4 linked regions of the Danio rerio genome follow. The protein of the gene in region 3 interacts with the protein of the main gene of each other region in a biochemical or structural test. Links are inferred from orthologs where the notes say so. Each region holds a gene or a part of one and is shown on either strand. Other genes may lie near its edges. The genes, in order: pnkp, aptx, xrcc1 and polb.

What was found.
Region 1: the proteins of xrcc1 (region 3) and pnkp form a complex in vitro, tested with the Homo sapiens proteins (3 studies listed by BioGRID and IntAct, with this or other methods). The link is inferred for Danio rerio from reciprocal best matches to the Homo sapiens genes XRCC1 and PNKP.
Region 2: the proteins of xrcc1 (region 3) and aptx form a complex in vitro, tested with the Homo sapiens proteins (2 studies listed by BioGRID). The link is inferred for Danio rerio from reciprocal best matches to the Homo sapiens genes XRCC1 and APTX.
Region 4: the proteins of xrcc1 (region 3) and polb form a complex in vitro, tested with the Homo sapiens proteins (5 studies listed by BioGRID, with this or other methods). The link is inferred for Danio rerio from reciprocal best matches to the Homo sapiens genes XRCC1 and POLB.

The regions. Positions count from the first base shown.
Region 1 is NC_133190.1:16,207,291-16,211,805, forward strand, and holds the end of pnkp (bifunctional polynucleotide phosphatase/kinase), read right to left. Parts: intron 3,516-4,515; coding exon 3,428-3,515; intron 3,239-3,427; coding exon 3,171-3,238; intron 2,112-3,170; coding exon 1,991-2,111; 3' UTR 1,662-1,990; downstream 1-1,661. UniProt on the Homo sapiens protein: Plays a key role in the repair of DNA damage, functioning as part of both the non-homologous end-joining (NHEJ) and base excision repair (BER) pathways.
Region 2 is NC_133176.1:55,998,540-56,004,147, reverse strand, and holds the start of aptx (aprataxin), read left to right. Parts: upstream 1-2,207; 5' UTR 2,208-2,274; intron 2,275-2,344; exon of another isoform or gene 2,345-2,368; 5' UTR 2,369-2,371; coding exon 2,372-2,501; intron 2,502-2,577; coding exon 2,578-2,624; intron 2,625-2,906; coding exon 2,907-2,960; intron 2,961-3,762; exon of another isoform or gene 3,763-4,015; coding exon of another isoform or gene 4,016-4,070; coding exon 4,071-4,268; intron 4,269-5,233; coding exon 5,234-5,293; intron 5,294-5,608. UniProt on the Homo sapiens protein: DNA-binding protein involved in single-strand DNA break repair, double-strand DNA break repair and base excision repair.
Region 3 is NC_133191.1:58,598,742-58,604,503, reverse strand, and holds the start of xrcc1 (DNA repair protein XRCC1), read right to left. Parts: upstream 3,287-5,762; 5' UTR 3,185-3,286; exon of another isoform or gene 3,183-3,184; intron 2,229-3,182; 5' UTR 2,191-2,228; coding exon 2,140-2,190; intron 1,685-2,139; coding exon 1,592-1,684; intron 1,381-1,591; coding exon 1,273-1,380; intron 61-1,272; coding exon 1-60. UniProt on the Homo sapiens protein: Scaffold protein involved in DNA single-strand break repair by mediating the assembly of DNA break repair protein complexes. Negatively regulates ADP-ribosyltransferase activity of PARP1 during base-excision repair in order to prevent excessive PARP1 activity.
Region 4 is NC_133183.1:3,695,732-3,700,804, reverse strand, and holds the end of polb (DNA polymerase beta), read right to left. Parts: coding exon 5,047-5,073; intron 3,989-5,046; coding exon 3,849-3,988; intron 2,710-3,848; exon of another isoform or gene 1,922-2,709; coding exon 1,827-1,921; 3' UTR 1,372-1,826; downstream 1-1,371.

The sequences.
Region 1 (4,515 bases), on a different chromosome or scaffold from region 3:
GAGCTGTAAATGAGGACTTTATGGCGTTATGAGATTTTAATTATGATCATTCACTGTTATTGTACCTCTGCCAGTGATGATCATTAAATTATACGGTCACTATTCAGTCGTCTAGCAGGCGCTGAAGTTCTGCAATTTTTATCTATGAAATAACATGAGGACAATTTGCAGAAATGACTATAACACTGCAATAAGATAGCAGATTTTAAATTTTAAATGTATTTTTATGAACACATTCAATGTATTATATTGGTTTGAGAAAGATCCTCCATGCAGATCTTTTAGTCAAGCTTCTTTTTATTCTGAGACCAAATTTCTAAAAACATCTCCTCTTCTACATCTAGCTTTTGATTAACAAGCTCAAAAAGTAATGGTGACTTCTAGGCTCACATGAATATTTATGCTATATACACTAACCGGCCATTTTATTAGGTACACCTTTCAAGTACCGGGTTGGAGCCCATTTGCCTTAATTGCTCTGGAGACTATCTGGAGACTACTATTTTGTCCCAAAATTGTTTTTAATAAAAATTAAAACTGCTTTTATTCTAGCCGAAATAAAACAAATAAGACTTTCTCCAGAAGAAAAAATATTATCAGACGTACTGTGAAAATTTCCTTGCTCTGTTAAACATCATTTGGCAAATGTTAAAAAGAGAAGAAAAAAAATCAAAAGAGGGCTAATAATTCTGACTTCAACTGTACTGTATGTATGTATATGTATGTATATATATATATATGTATGTATATATATATATATATATATATATATATATATATATATATATATATATATATATATATATATATATATATATATATATATGTATACAAATAGTGTTTTTAGTTCCAGTGAAAGTAACTGTTAATGCTTCAACATATCAAATTATTATAGATAATTTCAATTAAACAGTCTTGGGATGCCTCTTCTGAACTTTTGACAGCATATCAGTGCAAAAGATCCATAAAAAAAAATTAATGGGTGGAATTGGCTTGGAGGAACTTGACTGGCCTGCACAGAGTCCTGAACTTAACCCAATAAAACACCTTTGGCACAAATGTTGCCAGGCCTTTTCATCTACCATTATTGCCTGACCTCAAAAATACACTTCTAGACAATGGCCAAAAATTGCCCTAAACACACTTCTAAACTTTGTGGAAATCTGTTATTGATGCAAAAAAAGTGGTCAACTCATATTAAAAGTAGAATATCATAAAATTTTATGTGAATTTAACTGCAGATGTCCCAAAACACAAAAACCAAATGCAGAAACTTGCAAAATATTACTAATACGGTATGTTTATCCACTGTTTTGTAGTGTCTGCAGTTTATTTATTTTATTATTTTATTTAATTATCTTTTTTTCTTACAATGGAGATATTTGTGTTTTAATGACCTGCAGTATTACGCCACATTTAAACTGATGCAAACTCATGTGTTGAGCCATAATTACTCAATTATGTTTAAGAAACAATGTGAGAAGTTGAAAAACTGATAAGGAATCATCAATTGACACACTCCCATCAGTTCTACAGTCACTGTTTGTGGTAAAAACATTGAGTTACACACAAACACAACATTTAGAGGATGAGCTTTCTCTGATTTCTGAGATCTTGCAGTAAACAAAAATGTTTTGTAGACAAGAAAAAAAAAACTTCAATATTGAAGCATATTAATTGTATTTATTGCGAATGTCAATCTGAAACAAGCAATTATTTCTCCAGTTTAAAAAATAATATACATAAAAGACAATTTTAATTCTATTGTCTTTACAGCCCGTCAGTTTTAGCAGCCATGAATGCATTTCCCAAACACCACATTTAAAAACTAGCATTAAAGACAAGTTTAATCACCTAAAGAAGACAATAAAATATAATAATTAGTCTTGTACTGGCACTAATGTTCTGATTTTAAATGAGGTTCTAGAATTTTCTTCACAAATTAGAGTCAGCCATTGTGTTTCATGATTTTTCTCACAAGTTTCACTCTTCAGCCCTCAGAGAATTGCTTGAACAGGAACTCTGACCTTTTGTCACTGAAACTGGGCACAAAATGGATCTGCAGGACTTCAGAAAAGCCCTCAGACAAGCTGGGCACCACAAACTTTTTCCTAAAAAGAACAAAACAGTGTTTTATTTATACATGTATTTAACGTTTAAAAAAAATGGATTTAGTTTAATAGTTCTATATTTAGTTAACCATAATAATTTTTATAAACAAATCTTTTTTTAGTTAAAGTAAATGAAAATAAGCCATTCCCTTAGCAGCTGGAACATAACATGTATCATGCAGTGGGAAAAATAAGTACTGAACACCACCATTTTTCTCAGAAAACATATTTCTAAAGGTGCCGTTGACTTGATTTGTTCCCCGGATGTTGAAAACAACAAAAGAAATCCATATATACACACAAAACAGATCTAATTAGTTTACAAATGAAGTTATGTGTAATAAAATGAAATGATGCAGGGAAAAAGTATTAAACACATGAAGAAAGGAAGGTGTAGAAAGGCGGTGAAAGCCCAGACAGCAGCTGAAATCTCTGTAGTTCTTCAGCAACCCTCTGCCCTTCATCATTGTAAATTAATATTAGCTGCTCTAGTCCAACATCTATATTAGCAGGATGATAACAATGAAACCTGAGTGGACATTTTAGCAAGAAAATGTCCCAAAACACAGCCAAGGAAACTCTCTCAGATTTTTTTGTTTTGTTTTACTTTTATGTTTGTATTGTTTGGGTTTTGACCAAAATCTGCTTCAATTCCATGTCAACAGCTCCCTAAGAAATATTATTCTTAGGAGAAAACATAGCGTATTCAATACTTATTCGTTTGTTTAGTATTTGTAATACATTTTCAATTATTCAATTTCAAGGAATATAATGGTTTTAGATTTATGCCAATAAATTTAGTCAGTAATGAGACAATATTTTATTTAGAGTTGAATTGAACATTTTTTATTGATTTAATATAGTTTGCTATTTTAGTACATTAAGCTAAATGAAAACAATACATATTTCCTAGGCAAACAGAAATTAAATAAGTTTTCAATGTATTTTATGCCAGTTTTAGTTCATTTACCTGCTGTATATTAGATAACAACATGGTTTCAGTGAAATAAAACAATAATCTTGGTTGCAATAACCTCATCTTGCTGCTCTTTTACTCACTTGTAGCTGTGAATCACCATGTCATTGACAGGAACATGCTTAGTTGCAGAAGGAACCATCTCACGAAACTGAAGACAGGAAAAAAGACAGATAAGAAAGTGTGACAATCAGAGTGAGTGTGCATTTCTGCCTTCATATTTTAAGTCAAGATACAGAGTTTCCAAAAGAAAAATAAAGTGATTGCTGCTTAAAATTTTATTATATAATTTTGCCCAAGCAAAGTTTTATATTTAATGTACTGCAGTTAAGACGGATACCCTGTTGTTATGCTTTGCTTGATCCAGACTGGCTGTAAAGTTGAAGCATCTGCAGGAAACACCAGCGCTTTGAGCCACATCTATATATCTGAAAATCATATATGATAGAATTTTATAATAATAATAATAATAATAAACCTTTTTTTTTATATGGCGCCTTTAATAGTCACATCTCAAGACATGTAAAATGTGAAGCAAAAAAAACATACATAGTGTGGAAAAATAAGTATTGAACACCACCATTCTTCTCAAAAACATATTTCTAAAGGTGCTGTTGACTTGAAATTTTCCCCAGATATTGGTAACAACTAAACAAACCCATATATGCAAAGACAATGATTAAAACACAGCCAAGGAAATTCTCAAATAGATTCAGAGAAAGAAAATTAAGCTGTATAATGGCCCAGCCAATCACCTGACTTAAATACAATAGATTATACAAAATAAAGATCAGATTTGATTGATGAGACCCACAGAACCTTCAAGATTTTTACACTGTTGAAATCTGTAAAAAAACACCTGAGCAATGCATGTGACTTCATTCTCCATATGTGAGAGGTGTCTTTAAGCTGCCATCATTTAAAAAGCCTTTAATTTAAAACATTAAATAAATTCCAGTAGTTCAGTACTTTCTCCTTGTGTCATTTCATTTTTATTACATATAACAATTTTTCAGATTTTGTTTGTTTTGTTTTATGCTTGTATTGTTTGAGTTTTTTAACAAAATCTGGTTTAATTCCACGTGAACAGCTCCTTTAGAAATGTCATTCCCAAGAAAAAACATGACGTGTTCAATACTTTCCCTGCAGTACAAGGATAAATGCAAAAACGTGCAATAAAAATTTTTATTAAAAATCAAAAATTAATAATAATAATAATAATAATAATAATATATAATAGAAATAGAAAAATAATAGAAAATAGAAAAATAAAAAATAAATAAATAAAAAGGTGAGTTTTAAGAGATGATTTAAAAATACTCAGGGATTCTGCATTGCAAATATCTGTATCAGTAAAGAGTTCCACAATTTAGGTGCCAATAAAAAGGCCAGAAGTTTAAAAAAAAAAAAAAAAAAAAAAAAAAAGCA
Region 2 (5,608 bases), on a different chromosome or scaffold from region 3:
AGAATGATCACTGTCTGTAAATAAACACCCACACAACATAAATTGCATAAATAAATGCATATTAAATTGAGAAATAATTGCAATCGATTAATTATGATTATTATTATTAGTAGTAGTAATAGTATTTATTAATTGTAGTATTAGTAATTAGTAGTAGTAGTATTATTAATAATTTTCCCGGGTTGCAGCTGGAAGGGATCCGCTGTGTAAAACATATGCTTGATAAGTTGGCGGTTCATTCCACTGTGGCGACCCCTAATTAATAAGGGACTAAGCCGAAAAGAGAATTAATGAATACAAATTAATTTTCTTATCAGCTAAGTCCTTTTATTAATTAGGGATCGCCACAGCGGAATGAACCGCCAACTTATCCAGCATGTTTTTTTAGGAAGAGGATGCCCTTCCTGCTGCAACCCATCTCTGGGAAACATCCACACACACTCATTCACACTCATACACAACAGACAATTTAGTCTACCCAATTCACCTGTACTGCATGTCTTTGGACTGTGGGGGAAACTGGAGCACTCGGAGGAAACTCACGTGAACGCAGGGAGAACATGCAAACTCCACTGAAACGCCAACTGACCCAGCCGAGGCTCAAACCAGTGACCTTCTTGCTGTGAAGCAATTGTGCTACCCACTGTGCCACTAAATGTAACCAAAGAAAACAAAATCAACAAAATGAATGTTGAATAAAATTAAATGAAATAAAAGCGGTTGGCTAATAATGTAGAGATTTTGTGTAATTTGTTATGGAAAATAAAGTATTTGCATTAAAATGGAAAAAACTAAATAAAAAAAAGCTACAATAAATGTAGGTTACTTAATAGCCTACTGTAATCTGTAATAAAATAAATTAAAACAAAGTCAAATGTCCTGCTTATATATATATATATATATATATATATATATATATATACATATATATATATATACATACACACAATTTTATTTATATACATATATATTATATATACATACATACACACACGCACGCACACATATTTATATATATATATATATATATATATATATATATATATATATATATATAATAATAAAATTGTATTATTTATTAAAACAATATAAAATGGATTCACTAACTGTCTAGGGATGTTGTTGTGTAATTTGCTACAATAAAATATCATTTTTTAATAAAAATAAAATAAAAAGTGGTCGGCTATTTTTTTTATCAATTTATTATTTATTAGGAACATAATAACTTGTGGTGAACTAAACGATGGTGCAGTGGGTAGCATGTTCGCCTCACAGCAAGAAGGTTGCTGGTTCAGTCTCGCCTGAATCAGTTGGCATTTCTGTGGAGTTTGCTTGTTCTCCCCCTGTTCGTGTGGGGTATCTTGACAGTCCAAAGACATGTGGTACAGGTGACCTGGATATGCTAAATCTGATCATAGTGTATGTGTGTGAATGAGTGTGTATGGATGTTTCCCAGAGATGGGTAGTAACCATGGGTAGTACCGCTGAGTAAAACATATGCTGGATAAGTTGGCGGTTCATTCCGCTGTGGCGACCCCTGATTATGAAAGAGAATAAGCCGAAAAGAAAATGAATGAGTGAATAATTACTTGCCTTAAAATAAAAACAAAATCCAAATAAATCAACAGTAGGAGCGTTTAAACTGTCTGCATTAAGTAACACTATTCTATACTCTATAAAATTAAACTCCATAAAGTGATGTTATATTATTTTTAAAGTGTAGTTACAGGAAATCTGTCCACAAACTCCACTAAATCTGACGTGTATACATCTACATCTGCTAGATACCTCATACTACATTCCTATATATTATTAAGACACTGTCACTTTATAATACTCATCATATGTACAAGCCTTTTATACTATATACTTTGCATTATAGTGTACTTTTTCCTCTTTATACTGTTTTGCATCTGCACAACTCTGGTTTGCTCTCCTTGCCTTGTGCCCTTAAGTGTAATTGTATCGTGTACAATTTTAATTTTTACTTATATTTTTAGATTATATTATATGTGTAATTGTATTTATTTTAATATCTTTTTTAAAATTCTACTTTTTGAATTAACATCATCTTTTTTGTATTAACATTATCTGTTAGGCACCTAGGTAAGATTAGTTCACGTCATCTTTCAGCCAGTAGTTGGCAGCAAGCGCGCATGACGTGCTGTTTGTTGACACCAACGAACAAGAGCGAGCGAGCGAGCGTCATGTGTTGCACTTTTATGTTTACGACTACCACACTTTTTTCTACCGTAGCTTTATTACACTAACACAGTAAGTAACGAACATAAGTGGGTTTTAGAAAAGCACCGTAGACTATATGTATACGCAATAGCATTATAACGTGTAATATGGTGTGTGTTTTCAGGAGATGCCTGTGTGTTTACTAGTAAGTGAAGATAATTCACACAAACCCATTGAGCTCCATCACCAACAGTCTGTGACTCTGGGTCGAGGACCAGACACTAAGATAAAAGACAAGAAGTGCTCTAGAGAACAAGGTATTTTTGCATATAAAAAGCAAATAAAAAAACGGCCTCTTTATTTTAGAAATACAACGTCTTTTCTTTTTTGCAGTTGAATTGAGAGCTGATTGCAACAGGGGATTTGTCACTGTTAAACAGGTCTGCTGGAGAATTATAATATCAAAGCAAATATTAATACAATATATACTGAGCTGAAATATATGTCAAATAATGCAAATTAGTTTTCAATACCACAAAAAAAAGTTTATTTCTTGGTGTAAAGTTGGTTTTATATTTTGACTTTCTCCTTTAATAATAAATTAAAATACTTGTTACTCACCAAAATGGATTTGAACCAGATATTTTATTATAACAGCCTTTTAGAAGTTAATTTATAAAACGTAATAACGTTTGAACCTGTTTATTTGATGTTTTTAATAGCTGGGTGTGAATCCGACACTTGTGGATGATGTGGTTGTGGGCAAAGGCAATCAGGTACAGTGTTTTTAAAATATTCTGAAAAAGTATTTAATATACGGACTAGGGCTGCACGATTCTGGCAAAAATGTGAATCACAATTTTTAAAATTTTTTTTTGCTTAAAATCAAGATCACGATTTTCTCACGATTCTGTAAATGTAAAATAAAGGTTAATAAGTTTAGCCTATTATTAAACATATGGTAAAACAACAACAACAATTATAGACCCATGTGTAGCTCTACTGTTGCTTAAAATGCAAAATTTTGTATAGTCATTATCCTAGACTTGAGCAGACTTCCAATATGTCCTGTTTGTTAATTCACAGTAACAGCATGACTTTATATTCTATACTGTACATTATTTCTGTTAAGTGACAAGACTGTTGTCTAAGCAAAGTCAGACCTTACTGTCCTAATGAAATCATTAAAAATCAAGGCATGATCATATTTTATTTTGGTAAAATAATCATAATTTAGAGTCATTTGCCTTTCATACAAACCAATTGTGATACTAAATGATCAACTATAAGTCAAATTATTACTTAACTTGGATACAAGACAAGATTTTTTTGAGGTAGTGTGTGTGTGTGTGTGTGTGTGTGTGTGTGTGTGTGTGTGTATATATATATATATATATATATATATATATATATATATATGTATGTGTGTGTGTGTGTGTGTGTGTGTATAGATATATTTATATGTATTTATGTATGTATATCTATGTATGTATGTACATATATATATATATATTTATATATATATATATATATATATATATAAATATAATGGTATAATATATGTAATTTTAATACAAGTTTTATTAAGTTAACACAAGGCAAAGTAAAAATGAAAATTGTACATTATTATTATAAACATCAGACACATAAACAGTAGTATTTGCTTCGATAAAATATTCTATGAACACATTTACAACATCTAAAATGCCAAGTATTTTTTATTTTTTTTTTAATATCTGATAAGATGCAATTATTATTTTATTCAGCTTCTAGCAAACCAGCTGTGTCGATAATTGTCCGGTTGTCTTGTAATTGAGGCTGTATTGCACAGGTCTCTGGTCTGCTTAACATCACACAAACCAAATGTCGCCCACCTCTGCAAGCAGGTGAGCATAAAGCCGGGTCAGAGACTCTACATGGTCAATCAGCAGTATCCTTACAGTGTGAAGTTCACGGAGGACACGTCCAGATCCAAACCCTCCAAAAGAGCCCAGCAGATCCAGAGCCCTACAAAAACAACAGCAGATGTGTCAGACAGCCCACCTCCACCCAAAAAAACAACACCACCTGCTGGTGAAAAATCGGTGAGTTTCTTTTAGATGTATAGGTTGGGAAGTTTCAGTATTTATGCAATAGGAGTATACAGTGCTCGGCATAAATGAGTTTGCAAAATGAATATTTTTATCAATTTCTCAGTGAATATATGTCATATTTTGGTGCATTTGACCAAAACAGATTTATTAAACAGATATATGTATTGAAATAATATTTTAGTCACTGAACATCTGTAGTAATAGAAAGATAAAACATGCAAAAACAATTACAAACTACAAAAATTTCAACAAAATTGTATATATTTATTTGTTTATTTTGTATATAATATTATTTTAGATTTATTTTTTCAATGTGTATGTAATATTTTCCCCTAGTATATACATTTGTTTTTTTTTTGGAGTGTTATCATAAGTTATTTTGTTAGATAAGCTCCAGATTTCGGTACTGAATAATCTATAATATAATATTGTAAAGCTTCCTAGAGAAAATATGAATTCAAAAGAGAGATCTGTGAGATATTTTACTCATATATGCTCTATTATAATGGTTGCACTTAAAGTTTTCATTAAGTAATGTATTTACCAACATGATCTAATAATGAACAATAATTGTGCATCATTTATTAATCACAGATTTACTAGATTATTATTAAAATGCAAATTCATTCTTGTTAGGATTAGTTAATGTACTGAGTGAACTATGAAAAACTGTATTTCTATCAACTAAAATGTAACAAAGATCAATAATACTGTTATAAATGTGCTGTTTGTTATTAAATACATGAATGAATATGACCTTATTTCAAAGTAAGTCTCTTAAAATAAAGTGCATTATATGATTTTCAAGTGCTTTTGCTTTAAATTAATATTTGCCATGAGGTTGGAGAAAACTTTAAAGGTCTTTATTTAAGATTTATGTTGAAATGCTGATGTATTTTACCACATTTAAAGTGTTGATTTTGGACTAAAACAGTGGAAACCCCTCTGTTTTGAAGGAGTCTGCTGGGCACTGGAGCCAAGGACTTAAAGCGTCAATGCAGGACCCCAAAATGCAGGTTGGAGTGTGTTATTATATTATAATATATTGATATTATATGGTTATATGGTTGAAAACAAAATTATTAGCCATCCTGTGAAATTTTATATTATTTTTAACTTGCCAAGTTAACCTAATTAACCTGGTTAAGCCTTTAAATGTCATTTTAAGCTAGTATCTTGAAAAATATCTGGTCAAATATTGTGCTGTCATCATGGCAAAGATAAAAGAAATCAGTTGTTAGAAATGAGTGATTGAAACTATGGTTTAGAAAAATCCTCTCTCTGTTAAAAAGAATTCAGAGAAAACATACACAGGAGGGCTAATAATTATG
Region 3 (5,762 bases):
TGTGTTTGTGCCGTTTCGGCTCTCAGTGGGCGACATGAAGGACGATGTGACCAGCAGAACCTACAAAACAATGCAGAAGAGTAAACATGCGGTTTATATCTATTTTAGTTGAAGACTCCTATTTTTATTTATTGCCACATCAGCAACTTGTGGCTATTTAATGGCAAAATGGATTGAAGACCCCTTTAAATTTAAATAATTTTAATTATTGCCATTTACATATGCCATATTTCCATATAACACTTTAAAACGTATTAGTTTTAATAACTCATCTCTAATAACTGATTTATTTTATCTTTGTCATGATGACAGTAAATATTATTAGACTAGATATTCTTCAAGACACTTCTATACAGATTAAAGTGAGATTTAAAGGCTTCACTAGGGTAATTAGGCAAGTCATTGGACAACTTTAAAATACATTTATTAATATATATATACATATTTATATATTTTTTTTATTATTATTATTTTCCCCCCCAGCAAAACTAATAGCAAGACATTCTCCAAAAGAAAAATATTACAAGGTTATAATATAATTATATATTAAATACTGTGAACATTTTCTTGCTCTTTTAAACAGCAATTATATAATATTTTAAAAATAAATAAAATTTTACAATAATTTCAATGATTAAAATTAACATAAAAATGAATGAATCAGAACTCTAAACTTAAAAAAAAAAATAATAATAAAATGATGTATGTATGTATATATATATATATATATATATATATATATATATATATATATATATATATATATATATATATATATACATATACATATTTAAATTTTTATTATTTATTATTAATATATTTTATTATTTATTATAATATTTTGTATTATTAAAAAACAAATAATAATAATAATAAAACTATATATATATATATATATATATATATATATATATATATATATATATATAAATATATATATATATATATATACACACACACACACACACACACAAACATACACACACACTAGTAGTATTTATTTAAAATAATACTCTTTTGCAAAACGCAATATATGTACAAACATACACACACAGACATACAGGAAACCTCAACAACTGATTGACTGTATACATCACTGCTTAATCTAGCTATATTACCATCCATGAGACATGAAAATATCAATACACTACACACTAACATTATGACTCTGTAAAAATGCATGCTAATAAAACTGACTGAAGACAAAACTCACTAAAACTAACATGTTTTCATAAGATGCAAAAATGAAAAGCTCAAAACTTTAAGACTCGCCTCAAAGTCTTGATCTTTGACAGACGTGGAGTGTCCGACAAGGACCTCGATGAAAGCAGAGCCTTCATTTCCAATGTCTATGCTGTGAATTTGCTCTTCCTTTTCCAACTGGAGGAACAAGACATGCAGGTTAAAAAAACATCTGCAAGTGGCATTAAGGCATCTTAAAATAATAATAATATACATTAAATAAATAAAAATGTTATTAAAATAATAATAATAATAATATATTTAATATGTTGTTAATTTGAAACTAACTTAAGAACAATTTTAAAATAAATAATAATAATAATAATTAACAAAAATAAGTCAGACATACTTGAAGGATGACAGAAACTTGCTTTTCTCCAGGTCTCGCAGCTTTCCATTTTCTGTAAGTGTCGGAGCTCAAGAGGTTGTCTGCTTTATGAGTCTGTGCAGAAAAAGTAAACAATCAAGAACAAACTCTTTAATTGGTGATCAGGATCCTGTTATTAATCTAATTTAACTACCATTTGTCTTGTTGCAAACAACTAAAATATAAAGTTGTTGGGGTGCCTCCCGGAACAGGGTTGGGAAACACAGCCTTGGAGAATCATTCCAATCAATTTCCAATCAATTTAATGAACTGTTCCTAAATAGAGCTCTTCAAGCCATTTAGTGAAACTGTATTCATATCGTGATATATTTAATGCAAGGTATCCCAATTTCTGATTTTATTTTTGAACATCTACAGCCCTACTGCATTTCAAGTTCAGTGACTCGGTTCAAACCAATGAGTCAATAGATTCAGCTGAATCAATGAATCAGTCTAGTTCTCAGGTTTGTGTGTTGATTGTTAAGTGTCAGTAAATGTTGTTAATATCAATAGTGTAACAGAATTCTTACATTATCTTCACTGCTGCAGGACACGACATGCTTGAGTTTGAGTTCAGGCATGTTCTCTGAATCAAACAATTGAATCGTTGCTCATAAACCTGAAAAAGCGAAGACATGACTTCATTAGTCATTAATTATCATGTTAACAGAAACCATAAGATAAAGCTCAGCCATGTGACATACTTTTTCCTAGTAGTTTTTGTTGAGAGAATGAAGAACTCATCTCAGTTCAGACTTAATTGCGAATTAATATACGAATCGGTTCACTGAATCGACTCACATGAACATTGCATAATGTAGCTATATTACCATCAATGAGACGTAAAAGCATAAATTACAAACATTAACACCTTGATTTTCCTCACAAATAAACAAAAAATGAAGACCCAAAAAACCTGAAAACACTGAACAAGACAAACAATTTCAAAGAATTATCATATTTCATGTTTATAAAAGCTAAAAATAAAGTATGTCGTACAATTTTAAGCATTCATTTTCATGACTTTTCACTAGTGTTTATTGATTTTTGAATTTCCAAAAATAATTCAAATTCAAACTAATAAAAATCGCGAATAAGGTATTCGAATCAGTTCACTGAATCGATTCACTTGAACGAGACAGCATCAAATCAAACCAGCCTTACTCTAAACATGCATAGAATCAATTAAGAGTGAAAAATTCTAGTAACGATGATTAATTGAGCGAAAATAGCGGCAATATGACATAAATATATACTACATGAGCAGTCAAAACACATCAATATTTCAGTATTAAGACACAATAAGTGTGCTGTTATACAACACATTACGTTACATAATAATCTGAAATATTTGACACAAAAAGCATGACGTGTGGACTGATTTATGAAATAAAAATACAAACTAATGAATCGGATAATTATAGTAATTTACTGTTATTCGGTCTAGTTAGCAGAGTCCGCCTGATCGAGTTAACCAGAGCAAACAATAGAGGCGCTTCAGAACCGCCATTAAATGCCAGAAAAGCGGCTAAAAATATTTAGATACGCATTCTGATGGATTCAACATCACTTTACCGAAATCCAAACAGAGCTGAAGCCGCTTCTGAGCTTTATTCCAGTCTGAGTGAGAGAGTTTCACAAGCGCGCGTACAAACTCCCTCTCAATCCACAACACGCGACGTCACTTCCGCCTGCCGACCAATCAGCGCCTGTGAGGCAGAATGTCACGTTCTCGACTTTAGAATAAAAGTCAGAATCAAACAGAAGATGGATTATTTTACTTGATTTATATTAATCTGATTTATATTAGACTTATATTAATTATTTTATATTATAAATTTTCAATCATTAATTTGTACAACAATTAATTAATTAATAATTAATAATTAATTAATTTTGATTCACTGTTCATTCATGCATTTAATCATTAGTTATTTTTCATTCATTCATTTGATTCATTCTTCACTCATTCTTTAGTTTTTAAATTAGTTATAAAAATCAATTATCGTTCACTCATTTGGTTATTAATGTGTTTATGTACTCACTTTTATTCATTCATTCATTAAAATATTTATTAATTTATTCCTTGTTTAACCATCTAGTTAATAATTTTGACTTACTCTTCAATCATTCAATTAATCTTTCATTATTTTTCATTCATTCATTCATTCATTCATTCATTCATTCAATTATTCATTTGCTTTGTTTATTTACTTTTTATTTCTTTATTTGTTCAATTATTCATTTAAATTATTAATGTATTCATTAATAACAATTGCATTGTGTTTATGTGCTTATTTTTTATTTCTTTATTCATTCATTCATTCGTTCGTTCATTCATTCATTCATTCATTCATTCATTCATTCATTTATTCATTCAAATTATTATCAATAATTTCTGATTCACTGCTCCTTCATTTAATTAATTATTAATTATTTTTCATTCGTTCATTTAATTAACTGTTCATTCATTATTTATTCATTCATTAAATTTTTGATTCATTTGCTCATTCACTCTCCTTATTTGGTCATTAATGTGTTTATGTACTTATTTTTATTTATCTGTTTATTCGTTCCTTCATTCATTCAATTATTTATTCCTTGTTCAATCATTTAATACATTTTGATTCACCGTTCATTCACTTAATTAATCTTTCGTTATTTTTCATTTATTCATTTCATTCATTGTTCAGTCATTCATTAAATGAATTGTTCATTTGCTCATTCACTCTCCTTTTTTGGTGAATAATGTGTTTATGTACTTTTTATGTATTTGTTTCTACATTCATTCATTCATATAATTATTTGTTAATTAATTGTTAAATGATTTAATTACTTTTGGTTTTACTGTTCCTTTATTAATTCAGTCATTCATTTAATTATTCATAATTTTTTTCCCTTAATTAATTAATTGTTCGCTCATTCATAATTCATCATTGAATTATTTATTTTGCTCATTCACTCTCCTTATTAGGTGATTGATATTTTTATTTATTTATTTATGATTTGTTCATTTATTCATTCATTCATTCACAAAAGAAAGGTTCAGTAGTTTCAGAGCATGTTTTATTTTCAAGGTAAATTTAGCCTGTGTCTCTCCTGTTTCTCTCAACTCTGAGCACAGAATAATACACCGAACATGAACATCTGAAAAACTCAAAGTTTTCTACAGAAATGTGCTGTTGCTTTTCTCCTCTGTCTTCTTCAGAATGTCCTTGACTGGTTTCACACTCATAAGACACACACTATGTCCTGTTTTTTCCATTGCAGGCCCAGATTGGCCTTTCTGTTTAACAAAATAAGCCTCAGTCTTGCTGCATGTCTTAGTCTTCAAAAAATGTTAATATCGTCATTGTCCTCAGACCTAAAAGACTTTCAGTTCCCTTCAGTGATTTATAAATACATCAGCCTTGAAATGCACAAAACCCCACATGTGATATAACATAATGTTCATAATGTTGACTCAGTTTTAATAGAACAGAATAAGAAGATCTTTATAAACTGAATGTTCCCATAAGTTGTTCAAGTCACTTTTGAATGATTTCACCAAACATGTCTGCCTTCTTTCAGTAAGTTTCAGTAAGTTTTTTTGCTCTCAACTGAGGTCAGGAGCCTGTATCGTATTTGTGGCTAAACAAAACTCCGAATTAGAGGATTAGTTTTGAGTTTACTCACCAACGAAGACACTAAGGGCCTACTCACACTATGCCATTCGTACCGTGCCCAGGCCCGTTCCCCGTTTCACACTTGTAGTGTGAGTGCAAAACGTGCCAAAGCCCGAAACTGAAAGCGAGATGTGACTTTAAGGGGCTGTTTCATATGGATTTATTAATCATTCTTACTGTTCAGTGAACGCAAACTGCCGTAGTTTATTAAAGACGCAAACCCCTCACTGCACGACATCTGCACCTTCAGCAGACCTCCTCATTCTTGCAGCAGCAGCACAAGAGCTTTATGATTGTTTATGAGCGTCAAAAGTGGCGGATCTGTTCGGCGAAATATCTGACTGCGTGTCCCCATATCCCTAAGGACTGTTTGGCGAAATATTTGACTGCATGTCACTGCATAACAAACGACTGAAACGATATAACTAGAGAAATCTCCTCTGTGCGGCTAAGTGAGCACAGCAGCGATGACGTAAGCGTGCCGATTG
Region 4 (5,073 bases), on a different chromosome or scaffold from region 3:
AAATAATGAATAAAAAGGCTGTGGTCAAGTAAATAAATAAATTTAAAAATGTATTCGCTTTTTACAATTACATTAGAAAGCTAAATGTAAGATCTCTTTCTCTCTCACATACACACACCCACTCACTTGTAAAAACCTATAATGTGCTTGAAATACAACAGAACATGAATCACCTTTAAACTATTTTCAGAAGAACTAGAAGCAGGAAAAAGTTGGAGAAACATGACAAACTGCATTGCACATGTGAGAATTTTGAGAATGTTTTGTGTGCTCTTACAGTTGAAGTACAGTTTGAAATTTGGATTTTTATGCTTAGCTTAAACACAAGTGTGTGTTTCTGCATATACAACTTAAACATAAAAATAGATGTGTTTTTTTTATAATTGATTATATTAAGGATCTGCTCTCATTCATGTTTAGTTGTTCAAGGCATTGCAGCGATTGCTCATATCTAGCAGTAACATATTATCTATGCCAGTGGTTCTCAAACTTTTTACATCAAGTACCACCTCTAAAAAAATTGTCCCTCCAAGTACCACCATATGACCAGTCATGAAATACAGTAGTGTAGTAGGCCTAATCAAGCAGCTACAACTCTGCAGAGTTTAAAAACGTGGGAGATTAATTACTATTATTAATAAAATTTATTATTTAAACCTTATAAATCGTTTGAACATTAACACTGCTGGGGGTTTTTTTATGTAAAAAACCAAACAAACAAAATAACATGGCAACATTTAAATTAAAATGTGCTTTTAAAAGTTAAAAAATGAAAAAAAATCTCCTGTACTTAAATGTGTTAAGTGTTAACCTGTAGCATCCTATTCATCAAAGCCTGGAAATGCTGCTTGGACCTCATAAATATAGGCTATATGCAGGGCCAGACGGAATCTGCAGACATTTTTTGCTATTTCTGCTGAGAATTTTGGTAAAAATCTGCGGATTTCTGCGGAATTATTTTGGGAGTATCCAGTGGAGTATCATAACTAAAACCTTAATATATTAAATAAAAAGTAATAAATTACTGAATAAAAACTGAATAAATTCAGATTTACTCAAGTAAATAAACAGATTTAATAATGGGCTAAAAATCTGCGTAATTCTGCGTGAGCAGATTTCGTGTGGGCCTAACTATATGTCATCATATTCATATATGAACCATTTTTTAAACATTGAAACATATGTTGCATGTACATATGACATATTGGATTACTTTGCGTACCACTAGAAAGCAGCCCGCGTACCACTAGTTTTACCACAGTTTGAGAACCACTGATCTATACTATTCAATATGAGACAGACTGTTCTCTTCAATATATCATAATAAAACAGTACAATATTCAGATTCATTTTGAAAAAACGCAGAAAATAAAACTGATATTTAGTATTTTTAATGGAGGATCCAAATGTTTAAACAGAAATCCTGCATCCTCATAATACGGCTAGACTATTATGCCAACAAAAAATATCTTAATATCATCATAATAGGTCATACAGACTTTAAATAACACACAATCCTCATTCATATTTTAGCATGGGAGTATGCTGAAAGACATGTTTGCTGCTTTATCTGAGACAATATGATATCTATAAGCACAGTATTGACAAAACCACAACATTCTTTCTTCACTCTTGTATTTAAAACAAAATCATATACATGACTATTATGACTAAAAAGCACCATCAACAGCAGTCATGTAGCTGCTTTAGTGAGTTTAAAAACTCAAACACAGACACTCCCTTTATGTCTTTTCTACTATTAAAATACACTATTATGAGCTAAACGACCAACACACACACAGTCTGCTCTTTAATGTGCTTTTGTTTCACTCGCTGCGGTCCTTCGGCTCTCTGTATTTCCACTGGATGTACTCAAAGATGTCCTTCTCACTGTCCACCAGCAGAGGCTCTCCTGCCACACCTGAACCACAGATAATAAGTTAACGAAGAAAAAAAAAGGCTGTATTGTATTTTTTAGAAATCACGTTTTTTGTTCAGTTGTAGTCTTAAAATGTGATCTCTGAAAATTACAACAAACAAAAACAGATCAAATGTGCATTTCAATCATGTATTTTTGTGATTGTACTCTTCAGTGAACACCATTAAAACATCATATCTCAAAGCTCGTAAAAACTGAATTATCCGTTATTATTAACTGAATCTTTATTTGTTCATACACTTGTGCAGGTATATGTTGTAGGTTATTTCTTATAGCATTTTTTATATTATGTTTGTGTACTATATTGTATAATCATTCATTCATTCATTCATTCATTCATTCATTTTCCCTCGGCTTAGTCCCTTTATTTATCAGGGGTCCCAACCAAGGAATGAACCGCCAACAATTCCAGCATACGTTTTACACAGCGGATGCCCTTCCAGATGCAACTCAGTACTGGAAAACATCCATACCCACTCATTCACTACCCAATTCACCTATAGTCCATGTGTTTGGACTGTGGGGGAAACCGAGCACATGGTGGAAACCCGCAACAACACGGGGAGAACAAGCAAACTGACCTAGCTGGGACTCATACCAGCGACCCTCTTGCTGTCAGGGCTAACTACTTAGCCACCGTGTTGCCCACTATATTGTATATGTACATGCTTTATAAGCATATAAATATGAAATGAGTTTTGTTTTTAATTCAAAAAAGTACATGACAGGAAGGTGTTTTTGTTCTTTGTTAACAAATAATAAGGACTGCCAAATAATAAGAAAATTATAAAAGAAAAAAAAAAAAAAACATTATATATATATGTGTGTAAAGTTCATGATGAACCAGTCTGTGGCTCACACTATGTCACTGTCTGAATTCACACACTCATTTTTGTTTTCTTTCCTAATCCAGGTAACTCAACTGCACTACACTATATCCGCTTGTTAAATGTGACGTCACGCGAAGCGGCTTCCGGGTCCAAGCGCTATATCAAATATTTTCAAAGCGTTGCAATACTTTTGAAAATCATGAGCGCGATATATATATATATATACACAACAGTTCTGTCTGGTTCTTGAATCTGATTGGCTGATAGCCGTAATATATTTAAGTAATATCAGCACCCGTACAGCCTCTTTACGCTTTGTGTATTACTCCGCCCACATACAGCCAGCAAAAAGCAGATCTAAAGTTTAAAAGATGCTTGCTCAACTGTTTAACTGTCAGCTTATGATTTGTATCCAACGTGAAAGAAAGTAGTTCCTCATACAAAAGGGTTTTTAAGACTCTCCATGTTTGATTTTGTTTTTATATACACAATTATGCCATCAAACTGTTGTATATCACACTCGTAGCAGTGCAATATGGCTGTATATCAGCACTGGTGGGGGCACTAAGGCACTCGGCCTGCGGCCTCGTGCCAACGCACGAATGCTACTTGTGTGATATTGCTCATATATATATATATATATATATATATATATATATATATATATATATATATATATATATATATATATATATATATATATATATATATATATATATATATATATATATATATATGCCTATTATCCAATGGCCAGAAAGTGATGAATTTTTTATAAATTGTTAAAATATTGGTGTCTGAGATGCAGCAAGTCCAGAGACTGTTGTGTACACCATGATTTAATATAAAATTCACTTTAATGTGTGATAGGACTAAAAAGTGGTCATAAACAAATATTTTTTCAATTCAGTGGCTTGGACCCGGAAACAGTATTTCATACGTCACCACTTAACAAGCGGATTAAGATTAGTGAATGAGTGAACAAGTGTGTGTGGCTTTAGACACAGCTCACACTAGACTGTCAGATGGACACAGTTTCTGTCCTGTGCTGTAAATGTGTGCGGTTGTGTGTGTCTCACCAGTGACGCCCAGTGGACGGATGGTGTACTCATTGAGCGTGAAGCCTTTCTCTAGTGCGTGAGTCCTCATGTTCTTGTTGAATATATCACTGCCGGTGAAATACAGCACACCGCAGTAATACTGATCTTTAGGGATAAGCCTGCAGATACAGAGAAAGAGATGTGAGGAAAATGCAGGAAAAAAATACATATGACTATTTCCTCTTGTGATGTTTTATGATAAAACCGGATGTTTTCCTGTTTGGTTGTGGATTCTAAAAATCTGAATAATAGTATGAGATTCTAGACTGATCATTTGTAATATAATTTTATATTTAAGTTCACTTCAGATTTAAGTTCATATATTTAAGTTCATTTTACATTTAAGTTGTAGTGATGGGCAAAATCTTCAGTGTAAAATGTTTATTTTAGGTTAAAATCATAGGCAACTTTGTTGTATTTAAACGAATCTGGTGGTGTCAAATCTGGTGGTGTGAAATTATAGCGAATTTAATAATCCAATATGTCTCTTTTGCATGCACAAAAATAAAAATCATAATCATCATGCTTAAACACAACCTCTTTTGTTGCATGAAAAATAATGGTAAAATTGTATAAAACAGTCGCATCACAGCATTTCATAAAACATTTACAACAGTGTTTCTCAACCATGTTCCTGGAGGCCCACCGCTATGTTTTGGATGTCTCCATTGCCTGATACACCCATTACAGGTCTTTCAGTCTCTGCTAATGAGCTGATGATCTGAATCAGGTGTGTTTGGTTAAAAATCATGGAAAATGTGCTGGTGGTCCTCCAAGAACATGGTTGAGAAACACTGGTTTAGAAGACAGAAAGTACCTAGTTATTATCAGTTTTAGTTGATGTTGTCAAGGCAAAGGAATAAATTAACAAAGTATTAAACAAAGAAATAAAACCTATATACACATGCAATTATTTAGAAAAACACATAAATACAGAAATTACATAAATATATATATATATATATATATATATATATATATATATATATATATATATATATATATATATATAAACAATAAATGCAAGATCACTAAAGCCAATAATTCTAAATTTAACAAAAAACAGAAACTGCAAAAATAAAAACTACCTCAAGATGTTAATAATATAATATTAACATCATAAATATAATAATATCAATAATATAATACCAATGATAGTAAAATAACTCAAAAGTACCTGATATCAATACGGCGGTGTAAAGAC